7 linked regions of the Sus scrofa genome follow. The protein of the gene in region 6 interacts with the protein of the main gene of each other region in a pairwise test. Links are inferred from orthologs where the notes say so. Each region holds a gene or a part of one and is shown on either strand. Other genes may lie near its edges.

Region 1 (4,017 bases), on a different chromosome or scaffold from region 6:
CTGCCTCCCTAAGGCCAGGCCAGGCCTGAGGCACCACACATAAGTTGTCCTGTCTTGAGGGTTGTGTCTGAAGCTCTGATAAAGTCGGGAGCAGAGGCACAGTGTGATGTGTGTTGGGCGAGGGGGACCCACGTGCATTTCTCGGGGTGCCTGAGACCGGCCTCTGAGGGGCTACACCTCCCTACCTCCTTCTCAGTCTGGGAGGCCCCAGCCTGACCTGTGCCCTGTGGACTGCAGTCTCCGTCCATGGCAGAGGCTAGAGGTCACGAGGGGCCTCTCGAAGTCCCCAGGGTAGGGCCACCGCTCCCAGGGGTGTGGCTCTCCCCCCACACCCCCCAATAAGGCAGGGCCTTCTTCAAACCAGGGGCCAGGTCCTCGGCCCCACCTGCGTGCTTACCTGCCCACTCCAGGTTAGGCCTCCGCTGGCCACCTACGGTACCCCGGGGTTGGGGGCCTGGGGCCCCCAGGGAGAAGACGCGGGGGGCGCAGGAGGGGGCCGGGCCTAGGCAGCCAAGGGGCTGGGGTCTGCAGCTCTCGGAGAGCGGGGCCGAGGGGGAGTCTCAGACTCCCGGTGGGAGGGGCCCGGGGCCGGGTGCCCTCGCCGCCCCGGGAGAGGGTCCGGGCCGGGGGCGGGGGCCGAGGCGCCCCGGAAGGAGCCGCGCACGCCCCAGCACGCGGTGCCCGCCGCGGCGGCCGCGGATCCGGAGGTGAGAGCGCCCCCGCCCACCCCGCGCGCGGCGGGGCTGGGGGCCGGGGCCGGGCCGGAGAGGGGCGCGGGGCGCGGCGGGGCGGCCGGCGGCCCTTTTCCGCAGCGCGGGCCCTGCGCCTCCTCCCCGCGCCCGGGCCCGCCTCCCCGCTCCCTTCTTCGGGGCGGCGGGATGCGGGCGCCGGGCCCGGGCGGGGGCCGAGGGCCGAGGCCTGGCGGGCTAGGCTGGGGCCCCGGCGGGCGGCCGCGCGGGGCCGGGGACCCAGGGCGCGAGCGCGCCCCTCCCGGCGCCGGGGCGGGGGGAGGCGGGAGGAAGCGGGGAGGGCGGAGGGCGGCGGCGGGCGGGGGAGCCGGGGGAGCTCGGAGCCGCGCGGCGGGCGGGCGGGCGAGGGAGCGGGCGGCGGGGAGCCCCCCGCCCCCGAAGGAGGAGTCTGGCTCCCACTTGCTGCCTCGGACGCGCGGCGAGGCGGCCGCCGCCGGAGGAGCCCCCGCCCCTGCGCGCCTCCCTCCCCGGAGCCGGGCCCCTGCCTCCCTCCGTGCGCGCTGCTGCTCGCGGCCGCCGCGGCCGCCGAAGAGGAGCCCGGGGCCAGGTAGGGCCGGGGCGGGCGCGGCGGGCGCGGGGCGCGGGGCGCGGACGCCGGGCCGGGCGGGGGGCGCGGCCGGGCCCCTCTCCAGGCGCGGGGTGACGCCCGCGGCGCGGCGCAGGGGCGCCCGCAAAGTTACTTTGGCTTCCTCTGCCCGGTGCCGGCGGCCGGGCCGGGCACCCCGGCTGCCCGGCCGAGCGGGTGCCGCCGGGAGGGGCTCGGCCGGGGCGCTGGACTCCGACTGGGGCCGAGGGGTCAGCGAAACTTTTCCCCAGCTCGCCACTCGCTGCTGGCTGCTGGCGGAGTTGCTGGTGGAAGAAGCGCATTGGTGGGGTGCGAGTGATGAAGATGGTGGTAACAATAGCAGCCCCTAGGCTTTGAGAGCCTACTGTGCGCAGCAAAGCCCCTGCTGGGACTTGGGGGCAAGGGAGGCAGAGACTAATGCTGGGCTAGTGGCCACTTTTGCTAGGCATTGCTGGAAACTTCATCCTGCCGCCCACCCATCCACCCACCCACCCACCCATCCATCCACTCACTCATTCTACACATATTTATTACTGTCTGCTGTGTACCAGGCGCAGGGGATTCGGTGGCTAACCAGGCAGGTTCCAGCCCTCGCAGGCAATATTTCAGGGAATGCCCAGGCTGAGGAGCAGTTCTGTCTCTTGTGTGTTTATTCTGGGACTTGGTAAAGGAGAGTGACCCCGGGGGACACAGGGGAGGGTCAGTCTGAGAGCTGATGTGTCCAGGACTCTGTGGCAGGCCACCAGCTTTGGGTCGTAGCCCTGAGGTGTCCTCCACCCCTTCCCCTCCCACCCGCTCTCCACCGGGGCTGCCTGGCTGGGGGTGGGGTGGGGGTGGGATCAGGAGGCCCCACCCTGGAAGGGGCCCCAGAGCTGCTCGGCTGACCTCTGGGGGCGGTCTTTGCCCCCAGGGCTGGGTCAGAGCCTCCCCCAAAGACCCTTGCAGGCTTGGTTGCCTCCCCTCCCCATTTCCAAGGCCTCTATTGAACGGCCCAGAGGAGAGCTTAAGTGGCAAACAATTATGAAATTAAACCAGGGAACAAAAGTGGGCTGGTTGGTGAATGGTGAGCTGGCTTCCCAGACTTGAATGGCGGTAGAAGACTTGTTAGCTGGATCAGTCATGCAGGGGGAGTGGGAGGGGGTGTCAGGCAGGCATTACCAACATCAATACCCTACCTGGTATCTGGAAAAAAAAAAAAAAAATTAAACCAACTTCATGAATAATTGGCCATATTGGCTAAAATGCTTTAGGGGATCGGAGAGGCCACTGGCCGACTGCCATCTTCAAGGCTGGACCATCCACGGGAGCCCACGTACCACGGGACCATTTGGGGAGGGGGGGGGATGTGGCTGGGCAGAGGCAGGCCTCTGGTGGTGGGGAGCACACGAGGGCTGTTGACCTAGCCGGTGGCCGTCCAGAGGCATTCTGGAGCAGGGCACAGTTAGGGGGAACCTCGGTGGGGGGGGCGTGCATGAAAAACTGCTGCACGACAGCTTGGCTCCCTGCAAATTGGCTTTCCGAGTGGCAGCCCCAAACACTTGTAAAATCTTTTTGCTCAAGATGGGTTTCTCGGAAACGCTGTCTCCTTGAGCTCCCTCCGTGGAGGCACGTTAATGTGCTGACGGCCAGTCGGAAGGCGATAGTCCAGTTGCAGAGGTTTAATCGCATATTTGGAAGTGGTTCTGCGCAGGGCTGCCTTCCTGTTTATTTCTCAGCCTTAAGAATTTCCGAAGACCTGGATGGAAGGTTCAGAGTGTCCCCTGCATGTGGGGTGTCACCTCTCCGATGCATTTGCTATGGGAATACTTAAGATCACTCGTACCCTAACTGTGTTTATGAGCTGTGGGCTGTGTTTATGGACAGATAGACTAGATCTAAGTTTAGGTGAGAGGCTAGGGCTGTAGGGTCTTTCTGTTAGTCCCCAAATTGTGTTAAAAAGCCTGCCTTTTAAAAATTTCCCAGGGAGTTCCCATTGGGGCTTAACAGGTTGAGAACTTGATCAGGATCCATGAGGATGTGGGTTTGATCCCTGGCCTCCCTCAGTGGGTTAGGGATCTGGTGTTGCCCCGAGCTGCAGGGTAGGTCAAAGACAAGGCTTGGATCCTGCGTTGCTGTGGCTGTGCTGTAGGACCCCTAGCCTGGGAACTTGCATATGCCGCAGTTACGGCCCTAAAAAGAAGAAAAAATTTCCCAGTCCACCCATGAGACTCTTAAATCTTCATCCAATGAAAGTGACTCAAGTTCATTTGTTTTCCCTTGAACTTGCTACATTCCCTTGCAGACACTCACCTAACACTGGACACATCTCTCTGCCCCTGTCTGAGGGGTTTAAGCATGGCACAGAGATTCCACCGAAGGGTAGCACCCAGGGAGAAAAATCAGCCTTCTGGGTGCAGGTTCTCGACGAGTGGAAAAAAGAGAACCCTCCCCAAAGTGCAGTCGTTTTTTAATCTATCAAAATGATTTCATTTTTCCAATTTCAGGCCTGTGAACTGATCATGAATAGCAGGGCAGAGGAAATTAATCGGCCAGGCAAAGACTTTTAACAAGTAAATATTATGCACAGAAAAACATGCAATTAGTGGAGGTTAGTTAATGCCTTTCAAGTTGCGGCGGCGAGCTGCCTTTAAGGGTGGCATTTCTGCGTTATCCCTGAATTGTCTGTCAAAAATCTTTAATGCGACAATGTGACATGTCTCTCCC
Region 2 (3,500 bases), on a different chromosome or scaffold from region 6:
GAAAAGGACAAATGAAATACAAAGCTCTAAATGCATGTAACCATGAAAACAAGAACAGCAGTCACATAACATACTATTAGCATAACAGACGCCACTGCTTCTATTTAACAGCCTTTGCCAACACATGCCTACTCCCTTTCCTAGCTGGAAGGAACAGTTTCCTCTAAGAAATACTAGTGCATCATAATTTATTGTTAAAGTTACAACCTATGGAGAAATTAACACCTTGTCGATCTAGAACACTGGCAACCATTCCTCACATGCAACTTCTCTTAGAATAAGTCCCCTTGGCTGATGGGATGAGGTTTATGCTACAGAACCTTCTCCCCAACAGCCACGAACCCCCTTCTGTGACAGGCCCCTGCTGCCCTTGTCCCCCTCCCCAGACCAGCATTCACCTTTCCCACCCCCAAAAAGTGCAGCTCATGGTAAGCTTATATAGAAAATGATTTTAATGGGTGTCCCACCAAATATACTCTTCTAAAATCCCCCTCCATAAATCAGAGATAATGAACATGAACTGTGTTCTCGGATTTTTTTTTTTTTTTTTTGGAAAGCTTTCACTGGGTCAAAAAGGTGTTGAGTTTTGTCTCATGTATTTTTTTCCTTTAGATCCCAAGGGATCTAAAGGAGAAAACAGGTCATTTTCCCAGATGACCCTGGCCGGGCTCGGTTTCCCATCCCCTTTCCTGACTCGGGGTCTTTCCCAGGGACCAGTTATTGCTTCCATGACACGGTGACAAGGAACGTCCTACAAAGGCTGTGGGCCTGCTCACAGCCCACCTGCAACGACACCTCTGCGCTGAAAAACGCTCCAGCCCAAGAGCTGTCACCCAGAAGAAACATCTTCTGCCCTCAAGGTCACTGAAACGTTCTTAGTGCAGTTTAGAGGAAATGCTAGGATTTGGCATACATCAAAGGATTATTGGCACAACGCTCTCCGTACAGTTTCGTGTATAAATATCGCTGTGTGCTTAGGCCAGAGCCACGGCTGGATCAGCCGACCTGCACCATGCTCATGTCCACGAGGACCTCGTCTCTGCCCTTGGAGCCCTGCAGGGACAGCTGCCGCATCCTGTCCTCCAAGGCCCGGGCCTCGGACGGGCCACTCGGGCTCTTGCCGTTGTCACCGCCGCTGCTGCCGAGACCCCGATGACTGCCGGCTTTGTCACTCGTTTTATTTTCTGCCCCTTCTGCCCTGTCTCCTGTAGAAACGTAAAGATCAAGGCGTGAGTACCAAGCCCGTCAGCCGGCTCAACCCAGACTCTCCCAGTGCTGCTCCACCGAGCCTGTCACAGAAGCCCCTCCATCGCGTTAACGTCTCACTGCCTGTGTTTCTCGAGAAACTCCGTATATCCCTCATCTTTAGAGATGAAATCTGTCACACCCCTGTGACAGCTGGGAAACAGACCTCTCTAGCAGGTGCTTGTCAAGAGGACTATTGTGATGAGAGGCAGAAGGACGCTGATCCTGGTCAGGCACGGAGCTGGGAACCATCTCTGTCCCCACCCCAGCACGTCCCCAGCACCCCGGCATCCAGGACGGGCACTCACCTCGCTCCACCTCGCACTCAGGAGAGGAGGCCCCACTGCACTCGCTGCGAGGTCCCAGCACCGGGAACATCATCCCGAACTCCGACAGGGACACAGGGCTGGGCAGGTCCAGGCTGCCCGGCCTCACGGCCACAGGGCACCGGTCAGGCACCTCGGACGGACTTGTGGGTCCTGAGCTGAAGCTGGACACAGACTGGGTTTCCGAGTCATCTTCAGACACGAAGGTGCTGCAGTTGTCATCTTCGAAGGCCTCGGAGGCCACTAGGATGAGAGGGGACAGTCGTCACACAGGTCTGAAGGACAGCAGCCCGGCCCCTACACACCTCCAGATGTGTCCACTGCTGGAGGAGCTGGGCAGGGGCTGGGAACTGCAGGACCCGGCCACTGTGGGCACCTGATGAAAGGGACGTGGCTCGCCTGTACTCGAGTGGCCAGGCTCTGGAGCACCCTGAAGAGAAGCCGCTGGGCCCCGTGGCTGGTCAGTATCCTTCCCGTCACTTTACAGCCCCTGCCTTGGAAGTCACCGTCACCAGACCCTGCCTCATGATGGAAGGTGAATTCAGCCAAAGATACGGGGCTTTTCTTCACCCCAGTCCCCAAGATAGATCCCCAAGAGCACAGGAAGAGGGCTGGCCTGCCCAATGCATCCTAAACAAAGCCAGCCAGACTTGAGGAATCTTCCTCCGTTCTGTGGGAGCAGCAGGAGCTGCTGGACGAGACAGCTCTGTGCGGAATGTCTGCTGGGACCTCTGTCTCCCTCCAAGTAACTTGTGATCCCATAAAAGACATGCTTAGAGCCCACAGAGATCACCATTTGCCACAAAACAAAAACAAAAACAAGCCCACAATACCTTTATGTTGCTCTGTAGCTTGTGCCTTACTCGTTTTGTGGACCAGAATAAGCAAGGCCCAGAGATTCTGGTGGTTTAAAAGCTGCCTCGGCCTTAAACTATTTACTCCTCAGCCCACATGCCATCCCACGCCCTTGTCCTCCTCCCTCAGCTTTAAAAACGACCTGTGGCATCCCATGGAGGACTGGCGCCCATGAGAAGGACTGTGATGCTGGGCACAGACAGTGGGCTCAGATCTGAGAGCAAATCCTTTCTCCGCTATATGCTCTGTAGCCTCAGTCAAGTTACTGAACCTCTCTCAGGTTCATGTTCCTCTCCTCACAGGTTTACGAGATGGTGAGCACTAATGTGCTCACATCACTGATGCTCAAATTATAATTCCTTCTTTTACCTGGGGCCTGACGCGTGAACATCTGTTGGCTGAATTAAAGCCCACCTGAGGAAGGTGGCAAGAGCCATCACTCCACAGAAGGGGCAAAAAAAGGTCCCGGAGGCGGCACTGGGGGAGGGAGCGGGGGTTCTGGATTGACATAGGGGGAGCCGAAGCAACTCTCTGAGTCAGTTTCCCAGGGGTGGCCAGACACCACATGCATTGTCCATTGGGGGCTGGCACTCCTTCAATTAAACCTGACCACTGCTCTACACAGTGGACATCAGGGACTATCATGTGCCCTGCTTTACTGGGGAAGAAAGAGATAGAAGTTACATGCTTGCCCGCATCACGTACTAGTCATGGTGCAAAGGCCAGGACTCGAATCAAATCGGATTCCAAAGTCCCTATTCCAGACAACTCTTCATCCCTGCAGGACTTCTCAGAGCCTGGAATGCCCTCATATTACTTGGGGATGAGAGTGTGACATTTTCCAAACATGACCACAGAATCCTGATTCTGCAGATACACAGCAGCATCTTGGTGACTAGTGTCCCAAAACAGGGTGGGAAGGGGGTGGGGGAGAGAAGAGCAGGAGCAGGCCACATGCACCCCCAACTCACCAGAAACAGCATCGGGCTCGGGCTTGCCCCCTGACAGGTCCTCAGTGGCTGTGCTGCCCCCCTCAGCGCCGACGCCACGGCCGCGGGGCCCCATGGCACTGGA
Region 3 (3,500 bases), about 62 Mb from region 6:
AAAAATTTTAGCTTTATATGAGTCTTTAAATTGTTAGAAATATTTTATTATATACAGTTAAAATAGAACTACATGGTCATTGTAATGATTATATAAATGATGAAAATCAAGTAGTATGTATAGTTACTCCTAATAATTGGGAAAGAGCAAAATGAATAAACAATAAACTAAATTTCTTTAAGAAAAAAGTCTGTTTAAAAGCTGCATTCACTTGGTAATTAAAACTGTTTTATTGACTGTTTTTGTTGTTCACTGTTCTGTTGTATTTAATTTCAGTTTTTAAGATGTTAGAAAATTGCCTTTTATATTTTTTAATACTTTCAGTAATGTTTTGTCTTTTACACAAAATATGTAACATGTACTTTTTGAAATTTTATAGTGGGCAGAAATGGATCTGGAAAAAGTAACTTCTTTTATGGTAGGTATTATTTTTCGAATTCTAAATATAGTGAGACCTGGGTATCTTAAGGTAGTTTTATCTGAGGTTATGTCCTCATGAAACACCAGAAAACAGGGTTTTAATGTAGAGTGTAAGAATCTGAGTTCTACTCTAGTGATTAATTAGCCATGCGACACGACAAAATACTTAATCTCTCAAAGTACTACTTTATTTTAAAGACAGATGTTTGCCCTGCCTACCTTATACCTGAGATCAGTAGTCAGAGTCAGATGAGATAATACTTAGAGAAGTGCTTTCTAAACTTGGGTGCTGGAGTTCCCGTTGTGGCTCAGTGGTCAACGAAACCGACTAGGAACCATGAGGTTGCGGGTTCAATCCCTGGCCTCGCTCAGTGGGTTAAGGATCCAGTGTTGCTGTGAGCTGTGGTGTAGGTCGCAGATGCGGCTCGGATCCCGAGTTGCTGTGGCTCTGGCGTGGGGTCTACAGCTACAGCTCTGATTAGACCCCTAGCCTGGGAACCTCCATATGCCACGGGAGCAGCCCAGGAAAATGGCAAAAAGACAAAAAATAATAATAATAATAATAAAATAAACTTGGGTGCTGTATGTAAATGTATGTAGGTAGGGAGGGAAAATATGGGTGCAGTAGAATAGTTAATATTGTTTTGGAAAATGACTCATCTCTTTGATTTAAGTCAATCATTTTAATAAAAGATGGAGGGGTTTAAAAACTTTAGACTCAACAAAGACTTTTGTTTTTGTTTTTGCCATTTTTTGGGCTGCTCCTGTGGCATATGGAGGCTCCCAGGCTAGGGGTTGAATCGGAGCTGTAGCCGCAGGTCTACGCCAGAGCCGCAACAACACAGGATCCGAGCCGCGTCTGTGACCTACACCACAGCTCACGGCAACACTGGATCCTTAACCCACTGAGCAAGGCCAGGGATTGAATCCTCAGCCTCATAGTTCCTAGTGGGATTCGTTAACCACTGAGCCACGACGGGAGCTCTCACAAAGACAGTTGTTGATTTGAAAATAGTAAATAGAGCTTTGAAAATTATCTCTAAAGATAAAATGCAGTTAAGAATAGTAATGCTTCTGTTAACTTCTTTTTTTTTTTTTTTTTTTTTTTTTTTTTTAGGGCTTCACCCATGGCATATGGAAATTCCTGGGATAAGGGTCAAATCGGAGCTATAGCTGCCGGCCTACACCACAGCCACAGGAACTCGGGATCTGAGGTGCATCTTCAACCTACACTACAGCTTATGGCAACACCAGATCCCCAACCCAGTGAGCCGGCCAGGGATTGAACCTGTATCCTCATGGATACTAGGCATGGATACTAGGTACAGTGGGTACTCCAGCAAATCTTTGGAAGAGAAAAAATATTTTAACAGAATCGGACTGTATAAGGAGTAGGTTGAAAAAATTTTGGACCTCTCAGTTGGACTAGTGTTTGAGGAAAGGTGGTGGGGGTTAGTAATAGCAAAGGTTCTATCCCTTCTATGCTCACAAATCTAAATAGTACTCTATACCCCATCACTGGTGGTAATTTGGGGATGGTGAGAAAAGTAGTATTGGAATGGAAGTATTTCATAATCTCTTGGAGAGGATACACATATATACACATATTCTTTTTTATAGTGTCAAAGGTCTCTTGATATCCTATTAAGAATATAGGAATTTATCCTATTTTGTTAAATTTCAAAATTTAGAAATTCCCTGCTCAGTAGGTTAAGCATCTGGCATTGTCACTGCTGTGGTATGGTTTGATCCCTGGCCTGGAAACTTCTGCATGCTGCAGGCATGGCCAAAAAAATAAAATTTATATCCTTTATTTTTAGTAGGTAAAAGCAAATATAGCATGAAGCCTAACCAGTGTATACTTTGATCAAGAGGTATACCTTAGTTCTGCTTATCTTTTTGTGTTTCTAAGTGTTCTCTTTTTGTTTTGTTTCAGTAAAAAACTTTTTAATGTTTTTTTAGTATCATTTCCTAGCCAATTAGTCTGACGTATGGGCAGATTTTCTGCATTTATTTTGTTTATATGAAACAGGTAATCTACTTTATCTACATCATTCATTACCTGATACACTGTATTCTCTGAAAGTATGGGAATTATGAATAGGGCATAAATCCTTTTATAGATTGTACTAATAATTATTTTTGTATTTCTAGCAATTCAGTTTGTTCTCAGTGATGAATTTAGTCATCTTCGTCCAGAACAGCGATTGGCTTTGCTGCATGTGAGTGAGGCTGCTTTAACACATTATTGATGTTGAATACTTCCAAAAATACATTGTCAATTCTGGTGAACAGTTATTTGTTCAAGTTTCAGATCCTTTGTGACCATGACGCAGTCAGTCTCTCTTTTAATGTGTGGTGTTCTGCTGTGAAATTTAGTCTACTATATTAATACAGGATAAAGGCTTAATTTTTATATAATGGTAATTAAGAAGATTGTACAAGTTCCCTTTGAATGGATATGTCTTCCAAATAAATGTAAATTCTTTATTGAAAGTATGGTCTGGTAAGGGGCTGAAAGCAGGTTTGCTGGAAAGAGTTAAGTTGGGAATTAGAAACTTTGAGAATTAGGATCATAAGTTAATTGGGAGTGTAGAGAAGCAACCATTGCAGACTAAACAACGTAAAGTTGTTTTTAACCATGTTTGTACTTAAATGGTAACATTTTCTCATATGAAGGGCAGTATATTTATAGTAATGACAGTTGTTAGAATTTTAAATAGATAATTATGAATAATAAAATAATTTTAGGATAAGAAAGCATAAAAAGCTGTGATAAAATGCTATCTGTCTTTCTGTGTTTTTTTTGTCTTTTCTAGGGCCTCACCTTTGGCATATGGAAGTTCCCAGGCTAGAGGTCTAATCAGAACTGTAGCCACCAGCTCACGCCACAGCAACGCAGGATCAGAGCCGTGTCTGACCTACACCACAGCTCACAACAACGCCAGATCCTTAACCCACTGAGCGAGGCCAGGGTTTGAACCCACAACCTCATGGTTCCTACCTGGTCGGGTTCAGTAACCACTGCGCCATGACGGAACTCCTATCTTTCTGGTTTTTAAGCATGGTTTATAATTTTA
Region 4 (4,166 bases), on a different chromosome or scaffold from region 6:
GCTTCTAATTTTTAAGGCATTTTTCATGAGCAATGATAATGAAAATGCCTATATATATGTTAAAAAAACACCTATATATATATATATATATATATATATATTAAAAAAAAGCCCTGAAGAATTTGACAGATATTGAAGCATATAGTTTATTTGAGGGTCATCTTAAAAGTATACTTAAGAATTTTTTAAGTCAGAGATTCATTTTTAATAAATGTTGTTAGATTATTGCATCAGTTAGTCACCTTTTGTTTTTCTATTTTTGATGCTTCATGTTGCATAATATCTAGGATACAGTAACAGCCTGGTTGCAAATGCTTGAAACAGAAATAGGTTCTTTGGAGGCTGCATTTCAGAGCATCCGACTGTGAGGCTAGGAAGCAGAGCTAGAGTTCCCTCAAGGTCCGTTGCCCAGGATTTGGTTAGAAATCATTGTATCTAGGATAAAAACGTTGAGTCGGTCTTTAGGCAGCTTGAGTGTATAACTGGCCCTTTCACCCCAGGACTTATCGAGCGCCCCCCCTCCCCAGAAGAAAGCGGGAGGTAAGCTCAGTTTCACAATCCGGGCGTGGGCAGGCAGTCTGCACGCGAGCAAGAGAATTAGAATTGAACACTCCATTCCATCTCCCCCGACCATGCACACACACATACCAGGGCACCCGCACGCGTGCGTGCACACACGCATGCACACATACACACACACACTCTCCATCACCAGCCGGTCAAGGGAGAAAAGGGTGATACCTTTTTAAAAACCGAAAAGCAGAAAGCCATTATTAGCAAGAGCTATATTGAGCATGCTTGCCAGACAGGCAGCAAAGCTGAGCTCCAGTTCCGCCCAGACATGTGCCTTGCCATTTTCATTTTAATCAGCCTGCTCAGGATGGCTGCTGATTCATTTTGCAGGATGTCCCCCTGGGAGCCAAGGTGGAAGCCTGGGGCGAGCGGCTATTGCATCGATGCAGCTCACATCAGACGGGGTGGGGGCGGGGAAGAGCACAGACTGCCACACGCCACATCCCAAATTTCAATATGGCTATTTAAAATCCTTCATGAAACCACATCCTTTACAGTAACTATAATAGAACAAAAAGAAAAGAAAAAAATATGTCACACTGTCATTTCATTATCCAACTACCCGCAGCACGCGCGCGCTCACACACACACACACACACACACACACACACTCTCTCTCTCTCTCTCTCTCTCTCTCTCTCTCTTCCACAGAGAGGCTCGCAATTCTGCCTCTTTTATGGTCACGGTAAAATGCACAATACACATATGTATTTTTTTGCTTTTTATTTACCTGGTAACTAGCTGGGGTGGTACCTGATCTGGCTGGAAACTGATTTGCTGGATTGACAACCTTATTATGCAGTGAGCTTATTATTGATATGATTCTGTTCTCGGTTGCCATGGCCACCGTGTGAGAGACATTCAATTTTCTCTCTTCCATCATCATTATCTATGAGGCCATCTGTTGTGGAAAATGAATTCAGCCTCATTTGCATGACTGATAAGCATTTTTTTTATCTACTTAACAGAAGGTCATATGCCGGGGATTTGGAGCTCATGAAAAAAAACGTGGAAAAAAAAAGCATATCGAGAGGATGAGTGGGAGTGTGTGCATTAGGGGCTGTATGGGGAAGTAAAACAGATCCCTCAGGCCTGCGAGCCTATCACACTGCATTTGTCATTCCTGCCGGGGCGACATTTTTTTTCCCTAAGCTACTGCACACTAAACAGGGAGAGAGCTTTCCTTGCAGCCTTCTTGAAGCCCCCTGATTTTTGTACTCATTGTTGGTGGGTGTATTTTAATTTTTGATCCCCTGGACTATGGGTTACGATATCAGTATTCACTGAAGACAAAAAGCAGCCTTTTCTGCATCTCGGTGGTAGGCATATTCCTCATCATCCTTTCAGGCTTGGGGTGGAATAGGGCTGGTTTGCTTTCTGTGTGTTTCTAGCCAGCACAGTCACCAAAATTGAGCTTGTCTAACTTGGGAGCTGTTGTGGTCATGTTGTGAGGTACGTGATCTTTGTTAGGTTAATTCTGGGGACTTAGTGGACAGGGTCTGTTTTACCGTAGCTCAAGGGCTTGTGCTATAATGCCTATTGTTTGCTCCTTTTAAAGTTATTTTTATAGCATGGCTGGCAGCTGAAATGTTCCTGGGCTATAGGAGTTTGTAATCCACAGAAATCTCTCTCTTTAGAGTTGAAATGGGTACTAGGTTGCATGCCTTAACCGTGATGTTGTTTATAAAAAAAAAAAAAAAAAAAAAAAAAAAAGACCTCGCTGCATGGACAGTACTTGGATATGTGGATAGTGAAACAAAAACTTCCCAGAGACTTTGCTGGATTACTTTACATTGCAAATGAAGCATATCATTTTTTGCAAAGGCTGTTAAAACATGAGATATTCTCGATGTAATGTTATATTTGCCTAATGGTAAGAAAGTTGACTTATACTGTTAAAATTAAGAAACTCAAATAAAGATTTTTAACTATAACTGAAATGTTTGAAGTTCATAAAAATGAAACAGTGTTTCATTTGTAACAGAAAGATGACTTGAACATCTTTGCAAGTTCAAACTGCAAACTTTTATCTTCAAGATAGATCATAATAAGACCTAAATTTATATATGATTCAAAATATAGAGCTCTGATTTTGAATTTAGTATTAATTAAGCCATGATAATTTCTTGCACCACCAAAACAACATAGTCTATAAAATTTTAAGTTATTTAATTAGAGTAAAAATCTGTTATAATAAAAGCTTTTTGGTTTAAGTGTTTGTATTTTTTACTGAATAAAACCAACTTCATAGACAAAAGCATCCTAGGACCACCCTTACGACCATAAGGGAGGCTTTCTTTCTAATTGCTCAACTTCATGAAAGTCATGTAGCTTAGATGATAGACACATGTCTTCCATACAGATAAAAATGGGCTTATCTTTAAAATTATAAAAAGAGTTTTTCTACAATACTCCTTTTTGAAAAACAGCACCACTGTATGCCCATAACTTTTCGCCTCTCAAAAACTTTGAATCCAAAGTGTTGATTGTATGTTATCCATGCTACTTACTTATACATTCTAGGGGGGGGGAAAGGGTATTTATTTTTCTAATTGACCTAGAGGAAAGTGTATGATTCTGTCACCTCAAGTACAATAGGTCAATTGGTCAAAATTCTTCTTAAAATTGTACTGTAGCAATAAACATTCTTTATGAGAGTCGACCTGAGCCGATATGTTTGTGTAATAGTTCTCTACTTGATGGCACTTTTAAAAACTCTCACTGCAGTATCATAGACTTCTCATAGGCAATAGCAGCTGTTACATAATCCTTCCTTTTTTAATCAGCCATATTTTTTATATTTTAGCTTGAGTATTAAAGAAATACTTTCTTTTTAATATTAATTTACACTTAAAGATTTTTAGAACAATAAAAGCCTGATAGTTTACGAAGGTTATTTCAAGTGACCTCACTTTTCTCAGAGGACTGTAGTTAAAGCATTAGTAATATACCTGGATTTATATTATGATGTGAAGGATTATGCAGTTGCCTTTTGATCAGTACATATAGTCCAGCTTTTTGCAGCAAAATTGTCAACTTCTGAGAAACCTAGGAGATAGCACAGTTGATTTTTTCCCTCCCCCCCCAAGAAAAGTTAATTACCAATCTTGGTTGGATTCTTCCTTGCCTCCCTGACATTTGACTGCTGCTAATTCACTGATTAATCTCATTAATGTGATTATAGCAGGATTTGGAGTTGGCTGCCATTGTTCTGTAGACAGTGCTATTCAGCCCGAGTGCTTGCCACCTCATTCAGTTTTGCTGTGATTTTTCAAAGGCTGGTTGAGTGAGCTATTGTGAGCAAGGCTGCTCTCCCTTTCCCTTTCAGCACCGGGAGCTGTCCGCTGCTGATAGCAATTACATTCAGCAGTGACGGACTTCCTACTAGTTTACTGGCAATGTGAAAATGGCTCAGTTTCATCACCTTAACCATGGTACCCGTTGAGGCAGAAGTGGCAGCCGGTGTCATGGTCACAACTGGATATTCTGAAGGTTGTGGCAGGAAAGATAGACAATCCTTGTATCTTTATTTTGCACGTAAAATTTTTATCCTACTTTTCAAATTTCCGAACATGATTTTATTAAAATTACTG
Region 5 (3,500 bases), on a different chromosome or scaffold from region 6:
TTTTTTGGCAGCCCTGTAGCATATGGAGTTCCCAGGCCCAGGATCAGATCTGAGCCACATTTGCAACTTAGGCTGCACCTGTGGCAAAGCCAGATCCTTGGACCTCCTGTGCCAGGCTGGGGTTGAACCTGTGTCGTCCTGTTGCTACAGAGACGCCACTGATCTGTTGCGTGCAGCAGGAACTCCATCATTGTTTTAATAGAGTAGAAAATACCCCATGGCATTGGGCATTTCATAAAGTTGTTTCATATATATGTGATGTTTTTCTTATTGTGGGTTTTGGTTACAAAAGTTTGATTTACTGTAGTGGTTCTTAACCAGAGGTTGATTTTGCTCCTCGGAGAACATTTGGCAATGTCTAGAGACGTTTTTGGTTTTCACAGCTCGAGGGTGCCACTGGTATTTATTGCGTAGAGGCAGGGATACTGCTAAGCATCCCATTATGCATAGAATAGCACCCCCCCCCCAACAAAGATGTATGTAGCCCAAAGTGTCACTAGTGCTGCTACTGAGAAACTGATTTTAGTGGAGCAGAGAGACATATAATCACACTCATTTAAGAGTACAGTGAGGGAAATGACAGAAACAGTCACAAAGCATAGGGAGAGATATTACACTCTATGTAATTGTGCAAGTTAATTTAATCTTTAAATGATCTTGTAAAGGATAGGTTACTATTCCACTTTATAGATGGGAAAAACCAAGGTTGTTCTGAGTGATTAAGTAACATACCTGGTACCACATAGAAGGTGGTGAGCTGGTATTAGTGTGACCATTACCTTCAAATACGTTGGAACAAACAGGAATCGTCAGTAGACAAGTTTGATGTCTCAGGGATGAGGAAATGAGAAAGTTTAATGTGCTGAAAAGAGAAGTCTGTGTGCTAGATTATAGGATTTGGGGTAAGTAGGAAAGGAAGCAGGAAGCAAAAAGAGGGACTGATAAATTGGGAGAAGATGAGAGTCAAGAGACCGGATGTCCTGATGTGCCTTTAAGTAGGAATAATAGTAAGAAAGGAACTAGAAAAGGAAGTTGTAATCCAGTAGTAAAATACTGGAATTTAAGAATTCCAGGATAGGAGTTCCTGCTGTGGCTTAGTGGGTTAAGAACCTGACTAGTATCCATGAATGTGCGTGTTCGATCCCTGGCCTCCTCGCTCAGTGGGTTAAGGATCTGGCATTGCCACAAGCTGTGGCTCAGATCTGGAGTTGCTGTGGCTGTGGTGTAGGCTAGCAGCCACAGCTCGGATTTGATCCCTCGTCTGGGAACTTCCATATGCCGAGGGTGTGGCCCTAAAATAAAAAAAAGAATGATAATTTGTATAATTTCGTATTTAAAGTTTTTGACTTTTTTTTTTAGGTTGAGACTGAGCTAAAATTAATCTGTTGTGACATTCTGGATGTACTGGACAAACACCTCATTCCAGCAGCTAACACTGGCGAGTCCAAGGTTTTCTATTATAAAATGTAGGTTCTATACTAGATGGGAAAATGTCAGATTAAATGTTGGCCTTTTTAGAATCACTTTTTCTTTTAGGTTTTCAGCATTTTATTTAATGTTGAAAGGGTAGTTAACGGGAGGACTGAATCTCAAAACTTACATTAATTTTTGAACACACATTTGCAAATTTACTGCTAAGAAGAATCAGTATTACTGCATTTAAGACGGTCAGACTGTTACTGTAAAAATGTCCTAGGTTTTGCTTTTCCTATTTATTATGTTCATTGGCTTGTGTAGGGCTGCCCCCCCTAGCTACAAGTAATGCAAAGTTTTTTTTCATGATTAATAAACTACCGTGTCAGTCTTTGGAACCATTTTTCTGTTTTAATTCAGGTCTGTCAAGTGGTTAAATTTGATTTTTTTTGAGCCCTTTTGGTTAATTTTGTCTAGGATTTTTCTTAACATTTGGCAGTGTGAAATCTGAGGAAAACTAAAGAGATGAGGCAGTCATTCCTGAAAGAGACTTTTTGAAATTTCTGAATTATATGTGTTAATTGTTATGCATTTTTTTTGCATACTTGATTTTATGTACTACAGAAAAATTTGAGGAATTTATTTTAAAAGTATTATTCCTAATTCTGTTGTTTTTTTGTTTGTTTTTGTTTTGTTTTAGGAAAGGGGACTACCACAGGTATCTGGCTGAATTTGCCACAGGAAACGACAGGAAAGAGGCTGCAGAGAACAGCCTAGTGGCTTATAAAGCTGCTAGTGATATTGCAATGACAGAACTTCCACCAACACATCCTATTCGTTTAGGTCTTGCCCTCAACTTTTCAGTATTCTACTATGAAATTCTTAATTCCCCTGACCGTGCCTGCAGGTAAGTCATGAAAGAGAACAAAAGCTCTCAACTGTGAATGTGAAAAAGGTTACAAGGGAGAATAGCTACTTGTTTTTCTGTCTTGTTCCCTGGGACTGCTTTTGTCCCCTTGGCCATGTAATAAGAATTATTTTGGGAGATCCTGTCATGGCTCAGTGGTTAAAGAATGTGGCATCCATGATGATGCAGATTTGATCCCTGGGCTCACTCAGTGGATTAAGGATCTGGTATTGCTGTGAGCTGCGGTGTAGGTCGAAGACATGGCTTGGATCCCGAATTGCTGTGGCTGTGGTGTAGGCCCAGCAGCTACAGCTCTGATTCGACCCCTACCCTGGGAACCTCCATATGCTGAGGGTACGGCCCTAAAAAAGTAAAAAACAAACAAACAGAAAGAATTATTTTGGCTCTTAATGAAACTGTTTTGGATGATATATAGACTGACTGATTTCAGTTCACTAGGATAGCAGGATAATTATGTTGATGGGGAAAAATTTGATTGGTAGAAATTTTCACAGTACTTCATTTTTATGTATTAATTTTCAAAGCCTTTCTACCATGTTTTTAATATATTACACTCTTAGTGTACATCTCATTTTGTATTTTGCATCCTGTTACTTCCATCAGTATGTGAATATTCCCTCATTTATACTTCAGATTGTGCCCCCCCCCCCTTTTTTTGTCTTTTCTAGGGCTGCCCCTGTGGCACATGGAGGTTCCCAGGCTAGGGGTCTAATTGGAGCTGTAGCTGCCGGCCTATGCCAGGGCCACAGCAAAGGATTGGAGGCATGTTCTCGACCTGCACCACTGCTCACGGCAACGCCGGATCCTTAACACACTAAATGAGGCCAGGGATCAAACCCCTGACCTCATGGTTCCCAGTCGGATTCATTAACCACTCAGCCATGACGGGAATGCCAAGATTGTTCCCAGTTGTTGATACCGACATAAATTTGAGGAATATCTTTTTTTAAATTAATTTTTTTAATCATTTATTTATATATATATTTCTGTACAGCATAGTGACCCAGTTATACTTACATGTGTACATTCTTTTTTCTCATACTACGTGTTCCATCGTAAGTGACTAGACAGAGTTCCCAGTGGGAGTATCTTTATCTACATAGCTTTTTACTTATTAAATATGTATAACGTTTATTATTCTAATGATTTTTTCATTTTT
Region 6 (3,500 bases):
TATACCCAGAAATGAAACAGTTGAATCACATGGTAATTCTACTTTTAATCTTTTTTTTCTTTCTTTCTTTTTACGGCCATACCTTTGACATATGGAAATTCCAGGGCTGGGGTCAAACTAGAGTTACAGCCACCAGCCTACACCACAGCCACAGCAATGAGGGATCCGAGCCACGTCTGTGACCTACACCACAGCTCACAGCAATGCTAGATCCTTAACCCACTGAGGGAGGCCAGGGATCAAACCTGCGTCCTCATAGATGCTAGTCAGATTCATTTCCACAGAGCCACGACAGGAACTCCCAGAGTGACTCTTTAAAATGTGGTCAAATGACATCATTTCACTGCTTAAAACCCTCCCGCCACTCCCACTACAATCACAGAAAAGCCCAAAATCTCACAAAGGCCTGCAAGGTCCCTTTACGGCCAACTTTCTCTTCTGCTGTCCTCCCTAACCCTGACCTAGCTGCCTTTAGAACATACAGGCACCCTCCCACTGCCATCTTCTAGTGGCTATCCCCACCACTGGAAACGCACTTTCTGGAGATTTCTGCAAGGCCCCTCCCCCTCTTCCATTAAGCATTTGCTTCTTCTTTTTTTTTTGGCTGTACCAGAAGCATCAGAAGTTCCCAGGTCAGGGATGGAACCTGCACCACAGCAGTGAGCCAAGCCTCTGCAGTGACAATGCCAGATCCTTAACCTGCTAAGCCACCAGGGAACTCCAGGTATTTGCTTCAATCTCATTTCTCAGTAAGTAGAACCTGGTACCCCCACATTGCGTCTGGTCCATGCATTGTACCTCCTACCACCATACACCCTGCTAGGTACATAATTTAGGTATTTATGACATTTGCCATTTCTTGTCTATCTCCCCATCCCTGCCCCCCACCAGAAGGTAAATTCCACAGGAATCCTGAGCCTGGCAAGCAGGACCTGGCACATAGTAGGAACTCGGTAAATACCTGATGAATAAATGAATAAACCCACCTTCCCCCAGAGTCCTGCCAAGAATGCACCCTTAAACATTCCACACCCTGGCCTCGGTTATATTCTGTACTCTCTAAGGTCATCGGGAATTGGGTAGAGCTTCAACTGGTGAATACTGTTGGAAACCAAACACCAGATTTCACGTTTTCAGCTCTCCAAACGTTGCGATGATGCTCCGTGCACATGGAAGTGGCAGTCTATTGGAAAGTGTTTTCAAATCATGACGATATTTGCTTCCCTTTGCCAGCTTGCTACCATAGGGACTTGGATGGGCAAACTCAGATAATAAGAACTCTCTGGGAGTTCCCTGGCGGCTCAGCGGGTTAAGGACCTGGCACTGTCACAAATGTGGCTCTGGTTACTACAGTGGTTCAAGTTTGATTCCTGGCCTGGGAACTTCTGCATGCCACGGACACAGCCAAAAATAAAAAATAAAAAGAATTCTCTGCGCAGTGGGGTGGGGATGAGGGCTTCCAGTAACTTGTCTAAGTCCCATTAACTTAGCCAAGTTCATTGAGCTCTTGAGAGCTTAAACTGGGTTCTGAACTCTAGTGTTCAAGACCTACATTCTTTCCAGAAGTCAGTGTTTCCTCACTGCTCCCATTCCTGCCTCAAGGCCTCTGGGCTCAAGCAGGTGTGGAGAGAGGTTCAAGATCACCTGCCTGGGTTGGCGGGTGGGGGGGACCTGGAGACTTCCAGACTCCTGATGGCCTCCTGGCTGTAACTCAGGGCAGCACCGAGATTTCTAGCCCCTGGACAATTCTGGGCCACCCCCTGCTCTGGGCAAGCCTGGAGCCACCCCCCACCCCCCATGCCCCGGTCAGTCCCATTCATGCCCTCCCTGCCCAGTCCACACCTTACTCTGCCTCCCAACAACTACCACCCAGGGTGCGAACTGAGAGCCATCTCCATAAAAGATTTCCACAGCTCAGATTTCTTTTCCGCCTTCCCAAAGAACCTTCTAAAGGTCAGAATGATAAGAGGTGACAAATTGGCCTGGCAGACAAGCAAAGCCGAAGGCAATGAGGAATGCCATGAACAGGCACAAACGCTGCCAAGCTCTCAGCCCCTCGTCTGCAGTGAGACTCCAGCAAGCCCTCCAGTCTCCGACCGCCCCACCCGATGCTCCCTGAGTGAACCCCAAAGCTCTAACTGCAGCACTCCAGCAAGGCAAAGAGCCACTTGGCTGCATGTGGCTCAAAGGCATAAGAAAAACACTGTCCCATTTCTTGCAGATTCTTCACCTGCTTACCTGCAGCTGCTGCTTCTCTTGAAGAAGCCAGTCTCGCCTGGTGATGGACACATGCAGGGTGTCCTGTACTGTGGGTGCCAACGTCTTCAGCTCCATTCTGAGCCAGGCTTGGGTGTCTTCACTGCCAGCTCTGAAAATAAAATAGACATCTTGGTACAGATATGGACGAGCTGAAATCCACAGACCAGCAAGCGTGTTCATGGAAAGAAGGTCCACAGAGTGGCCCCCGGCTGTTCTCATCCTTAAGAGGGTCACGGGGATGAGGTCCCTAATGAAAGTTTTTGCTTTAATGATAATCTGTCGGGACTTTGGCTTTCTCAAGTAGCCAGCATGCTTGATTGGATGCAGCACTGTCCATACCGCAGCAATGCCTGTGGCTATCTGTGTTGAAAGCATAAAATACACACCAGATTTTAAAGTCTTAGTGTGAAAACAAAATGCAAAATACTCCATCAGTGGTAGCAAACCCAACTAGTATCCATGAGGACGCAGGTTCCATCCCTGGCCTCACTCAGTGGGTTATGGATCCAGCATTACCACAAGGTAAGGCACAGGTCCCAGGCTCAGCTCAGATCTGGCGTTGCTGTGGCTGTGGTGCAGCCCAGCAGCTACAACTCTGATTCAACCCCCTATTCAACTTCCATATACCGCACCCCAAAAAGACAAGAGAAAAGACATTTTAAAAATTAATTTCACTTGTTTTTCTTCTGACTTTTTAAAAATATGGCTACCAGATCATTTAAAAATCACATATGTGGTTTGCATTATATTTCACCAGACAGCTCTGCCTGGACCATCCAGAGAGAGCAGACAGAGCCAAATTCCAGCGCTGATCTTGACTGCAGACATTACAAAGAGGGATGACAGGAAAAAGAAAAAAAAAAAAGACACCCAAGGAGAACTTCCTAGAGTGGGTCATGCTTGACCTGGGAAGGGTAGGTCAGGCCTGGAAATTTAGAACATACCAGGAGGACAGGGCCAGGCAGGGAATACCTGAAAGAAAGAGAGAGAGAGAAAGAAAAAGAAAGAAAGAAAGAAAGAAAGAAGGAAAGAAAGAAAGAAAGAAGGAAAGAAAGAAAGAAAGAAAGAAAGAAAAAAAGAAAGAAAGAAAGAAAGAAAGAAAGAAAGAAAGAAAGAAAGAAAGAAAGAAAGAAAGAAAGAAAGAAAGGAAGGAAGGAAGGAAGGAAGGAAGGAAGGAAGGAAGGAGGAAAAAGAGAGATGACTGATCTGCAGACATTTGGGTCAGAGCTTCTCAGGAAAGG
Region 7 (3,500 bases), on a different chromosome or scaffold from region 6:
TTTTCCACATTAGCAGTGCTCACTCACCTCCCTCTCCTTCTGGACACACGAGAGGATTCAGCTTCTCAGCCCCCTTGATGTTAGATGCAGCCATAGGAGTCGCTTTGTCCAATGAAATCTGAGCAAAAATCATCATGTGAGTTCTGGGCAGAAGCGTATAAGAGCTGGTGTGTGGCTCTTCACCCTTCATCTCGTCTTGAGATGGTGTTGAGAGGGTGAAGTCTCCACCATCCGGAGCCCCGAGAGCCAGCGATGAGCAGAGCTCTCCTGCCGACTCGTGTGGGATGTGAAGGAGGATCAAGAGGTAAACACTTGATGGGATGTACAACAGGATGACGACAAAACACTCAACACTGCTGTATTTCACAGGTGCCGAGAAAGTAGACCATGAAAGTTCTTACCACGAGGAAATAAAAAATTGGATAACCATGAGGTGATGAATGCAGCAATCACTACACGATAGATGTGTGTCAAGTCATTTTGCTGCACACTTTACACTTAGAGTGTGGTATGTCAATTATATCTCAATGAGCCTGAAAAAAAGAAGTAAACTTTTTTTCCTTTAAGCCACAGAGATTTAACATTGTTACCACAGTATAAGCTAACTTCTGCCTTTTTCTCTTTTCCCCTAAGAAACAGCTCTTGCGACCTCTACCTCGTAATTCCAACTCTCTGATTCTGGAGCAGTGGTTCTCAGCCCTGGCCACACATGAGAATTACCTGTGGAGGTTTTTAAAGCATCCTGATTGGATTCTCATCTCCAATCAAATCAGAATTTCTTTGAACAGAAGCTGGCATCTTTGGGATGCTTTTAAAACACTCCTGGCAATTCTGCTGTGTCACCAGGATTAAGGACCACTGCTGTGATGGAGGGGCAGTGAGGAAACTGCCAGTCACTGGAAGTCATTAAGCATCCTGTCATGAGGACAATCCTCAGGGCAGGAGTAAGAACCAAAAGTCAAGATCAATTTATTTTCTGCTTGGAACAGCTATTCCTGCTTGTACGGACTTTGAAGTGACCCAGTTTCCTCTAAGGATGAGAGACTGGCTCAAGAATATCCTCATGCAGCTTTATGAGCCTAACCCTGAACATGCTGGATATCTAAATGAGAAGCAGAGAAATAAAGTAAGTTAACCATGGCTCAGCTGCCTGGGCGTCTGTCTGCGGGCCTGGAAAAGGTGTCAGGGGCTGGGGCCAGGGGCAAGGGCTGCCTTCCACTGCATATCAGCAACCACACTTGGTTAACATATAGCAGTGGTCATCGTTCAGGCCACAAGGTTTGGGAAACAAACCTCATTCCTACACAAAGCGCGGTGGCCTGAGCAAGGGCTCTTGAACTCATACCTAGGCCAAGATCTGTGGAGTAAAGTAAACCTCCATTCAGCATTTACATGTTCAGGCCCAGACATATTATTTAAGTCAAAACATCTCTTTTTCTTTCATAGGCCAGACAGAGGTGTGTGATATAAGGGAAACCCACTACTAACGATGTCAGTAATACATTAAAATTTAAAAGTGGAGAAGATTGATCCTAAAAGCGCCCAAAGAAAACTCATTCCCCAGGGAGTTACTGAGTATATCCCCAGTACCCGGAATGGATTTACATGTTGGAAACACAGCCATGAACCAAACAAAAATCTCTGCCTTTGTAATCTTACATCCTACACAAAGAGATGATATACAGTAACATAAACATGTATGCAAATATGAACATGCACGCAAATATATAAACATATGCAAGAAAATATTTATGCAAATACACATATAAGTTAAGTCAGGTGGGATGAAACATGCCATAAAGAAAAAATAAAAGGAGGTTGTGCATTAATTGTGTCAGATGCTGTTTATAGGTTAAGGATTAAGAGTTGGCCCCTGATTTGGCATGTGGCAGTCATAGTTGACCTTGACAGGAGCTGTTTCTGCAGAGCAGGAAAGAGAACATCCTGCGTGGACTGCCTTCAAAAGAAAATAGGAGGAACGGTGTGGGAAAAGTGAAATGGGGTGGCAGAGAGAGAGAGGAATGTGAGTTCAAGTGTCCTCTTGCAGTTCCCATCCTGGCTCAGTGGAAAGCAATCTTACTAGTATCCATGAGGATGCAGGTTCAATCCCTGGCCTCGCTCATAGGTTAAGGACCTGGCACTGCCGTGAGCTGTGGTGTAGGTCACAGACCCAGCTTCGATGCCGTGTTGCTGTGCCTGTGGCTATAGTTCCGATTAGACCCCTAGCCTGGGAACCTCCATATGCCAAGGGTGAGGCCCTAAAAAGACCAAAAAAAAAAAAAAAGAGCCCTATCTACCATCAGGAGATGGTAGAGGATGTTTGTGTGCTTCTGGAAATAACCCAGCAAAGAAGGAAAGGTGCCCAACTGTCACAGCGTATTCTTGAGTAGATGAGAAGGGGTGAGCTTCTGAGCGCCAGGGAGGGGCTGGACTTAGATGAGGAGCATAGGAAGTTCACCCACAGTGACAAGGAGGGACATTGGTAGCTGTGTTCATGGGAACGGGTAGAAGTTCTGTTCTGATTGCTTCCAATGACTCAGTGAAATAATGGGCAACGGCACCAGCTGAGAGTTTTATATGTACATACACGCATTGCCCCTAAATAATTTCTAGCCTCTCTCTCTCACAACACGTCGTCACAGACAGGCTCGAGAGCATGAGATACACAACAAGGAGATGTCAATGAGGGGGCCAACCCAAGACTCAGCAGGCATGGGGTGGAAATACAGGGAGAATCAAGAACAGAGAACACCAGGGGGGAAGAGCTGGACACCTCACTAACGAATGAACGATTTTGTCTAGGTCAGTTCAGCCCTTTCCATTAAAACCCTCTCACAGTTTGAAGAAATGTGGTGAACCTTACTCGGTTAAAAGATCAAAAAAGACAAATTTCTTCTGAAAACCGCAGTTATTTTTTTAATGTCTGCTGTTATTCTGTGTAATAAGAAAGGCTCAGCGTTCTCTCTGTGGTTGCTGCTGTAACGTGGGTTCGATCTCTGGCCCAGAGACTTTCATATGCCACAGGCACAACCGAAAAAAATAAAAAACAAACATAATTCTCAACTTAAGGAAAAAAAATAAGAAAGAAGAAAGGCTGTAGCGTTGATGAGAAGGCGCGTAATGGGTTCTCCAGTGACGTTCTGCACTGGGTTTCCTCTGCCACGTTGAGTTCCTATCCCCGAGAGGTTTAGCGAGCGAGAATTCCACTTCACTTGTCTGATTCTCTGATGATGTTCTCCCTTCCTGATCGCAGGTCAAGAAAATTTACCTGGATGAAAAGAGGCTCTTGGCTGGGGACCATTCCATCGACCTTCTCTTAAGGGACTTTAAGAAAAACTACCACATGTATGTGTATCCCGTGCACTGGCAGTTCAGTGAGCTTGACCAACATCCGCGGGACAGGTAAAAGCCTTTTATTTTCCCATGACCAGGGCACCTCCCCGATATAAGGGCTATCTATACTAAGAGAATTCTAAACAGATTCAGGAAATTTCCCAGTT

Evidence for each region.
Region 1: the proteins of DISC1 (region 6) and MPPED1 interact in a two-hybrid assay, tested with the Homo sapiens proteins (2 studies listed by BioGRID and IntAct). The link is inferred for Sus scrofa from reciprocal best matches to the Homo sapiens genes DISC1 and MPPED1.
Region 2: the proteins of DISC1 (region 6) and SH3BP5 interact in a two-hybrid assay, tested with the Homo sapiens proteins (2 studies listed by BioGRID and IntAct). The link is inferred for Sus scrofa from reciprocal best matches to the Homo sapiens genes DISC1 and SH3BP5.
Region 3: the proteins of DISC1 (region 6) and SMC3 interact in a two-hybrid assay, tested with the Homo sapiens proteins (2 studies listed by BioGRID and IntAct). The link is inferred for Sus scrofa from reciprocal best matches to the Homo sapiens genes DISC1 and SMC3.
Region 4: the proteins of DISC1 (region 6) and MYT1L interact in a two-hybrid assay, tested with the Homo sapiens proteins (2 studies listed by BioGRID and IntAct). The link is inferred for Sus scrofa from reciprocal best matches to the Homo sapiens genes DISC1 and MYT1L.
Region 5: the proteins of DISC1 (region 6) and YWHAE interact in binary tests that used the Homo sapiens proteins (3 or more experiments, as listed by UniProt). The link is inferred for Sus scrofa from reciprocal best matches to the Homo sapiens genes DISC1 and YWHAE.
Region 7: the proteins of DISC1 (region 6) and SPARCL1 interact in a two-hybrid assay, tested with the Homo sapiens proteins (2 studies listed by BioGRID and IntAct). The link is inferred for Sus scrofa from reciprocal best matches to the Homo sapiens genes DISC1 and SPARCL1.

What each region holds. Positions count from the first base shown.
Region 1 is NC_010447.5:5,493,695-5,497,711, reverse strand, and holds the start of MPPED1 (metallophosphoesterase domain-containing protein 1), read left to right. Parts: upstream 1-1,217; 5' UTR 1,218-1,296; intron 1,297-4,017. UniProt on the Homo sapiens protein: May have metallophosphoesterase activity (in vitro).
Region 2 is NC_010455.5:2,505,602-2,509,101, forward strand, and holds part of SH3BP5 (SH3 domain-binding protein 5), read right to left. Parts: coding exon 3,398-3,500; intron 1,815-3,397; coding exon 1,554-1,814; intron 1,206-1,553; coding exon 997-1,205; 3' UTR 1-996. UniProt on the Homo sapiens protein: Functions as a guanine nucleotide exchange factor (GEF) with specificity for RAB11A and RAB25. Inhibits the auto- and transphosphorylation activity of BTK. Plays a negative regulatory role in BTK-related cytoplasmic signaling in B-cells.
Region 3 is NC_010456.5:120,976,129-120,979,628, forward strand, and holds part of SMC3 (structural maintenance of chromosomes protein 3), read left to right. Parts: intron 1-379; coding exon 380-418; intron 419-2,574; coding exon 2,575-2,642; intron 2,643-3,500. UniProt on the Homo sapiens protein: Central component of cohesin, a complex required for chromosome cohesion during the cell cycle. The cohesin complex may form a large proteinaceous ring within which sister chromatids can be trapped.
Region 4 is NC_010445.4:131,926,693-131,930,858, forward strand, and holds the start of MYT1L (myelin transcription factor 1-like protein), read left to right. Parts: upstream 1-1,366; 5' UTR 1,367-1,892; intron 1,893-1,923; exon of another isoform or gene 1,924-2,025; intron 2,026-4,166. UniProt on the Homo sapiens protein: Transcription factor that plays a key role in neuronal differentiation by specifically repressing expression of non-neuronal genes during neuron differentiation.
Region 5 is NC_010454.4:47,610,828-47,614,327, reverse strand, and holds part of YWHAE (14-3-3 protein epsilon), read left to right. Parts: intron 1-1,359; coding exon 1,360-1,466; intron 1,467-2,113; coding exon 2,114-2,320; intron 2,321-3,500. UniProt on the Homo sapiens protein: Adapter protein implicated in the regulation of a large spectrum of both general and specialized signaling pathways. Binds to a large number of partners, usually by recognition of a phosphoserine or phosphothreonine motif.
Region 6 is NC_010456.5:58,838,455-58,841,954, forward strand, and holds part of DISC1 (disrupted in schizophrenia 1 protein), read right to left. Parts: intron 2,369-3,500; coding exon 2,239-2,368; intron 1-2,238. UniProt on the Homo sapiens protein: Involved in the regulation of multiple aspects of embryonic and adult neurogenesis. Required for neural progenitor proliferation in the ventrical/subventrical zone during embryonic brain development and in the adult dentate gyrus of the hippocampus.
Region 7 is NC_010450.4:131,421,454-131,424,953, forward strand, and holds part of SPARCL1 (SPARC-like protein 1), read left to right. Parts: intron 1-989; coding exon 990-1,126; intron 1,127-3,253; coding exon 3,254-3,402; intron 3,403-3,500.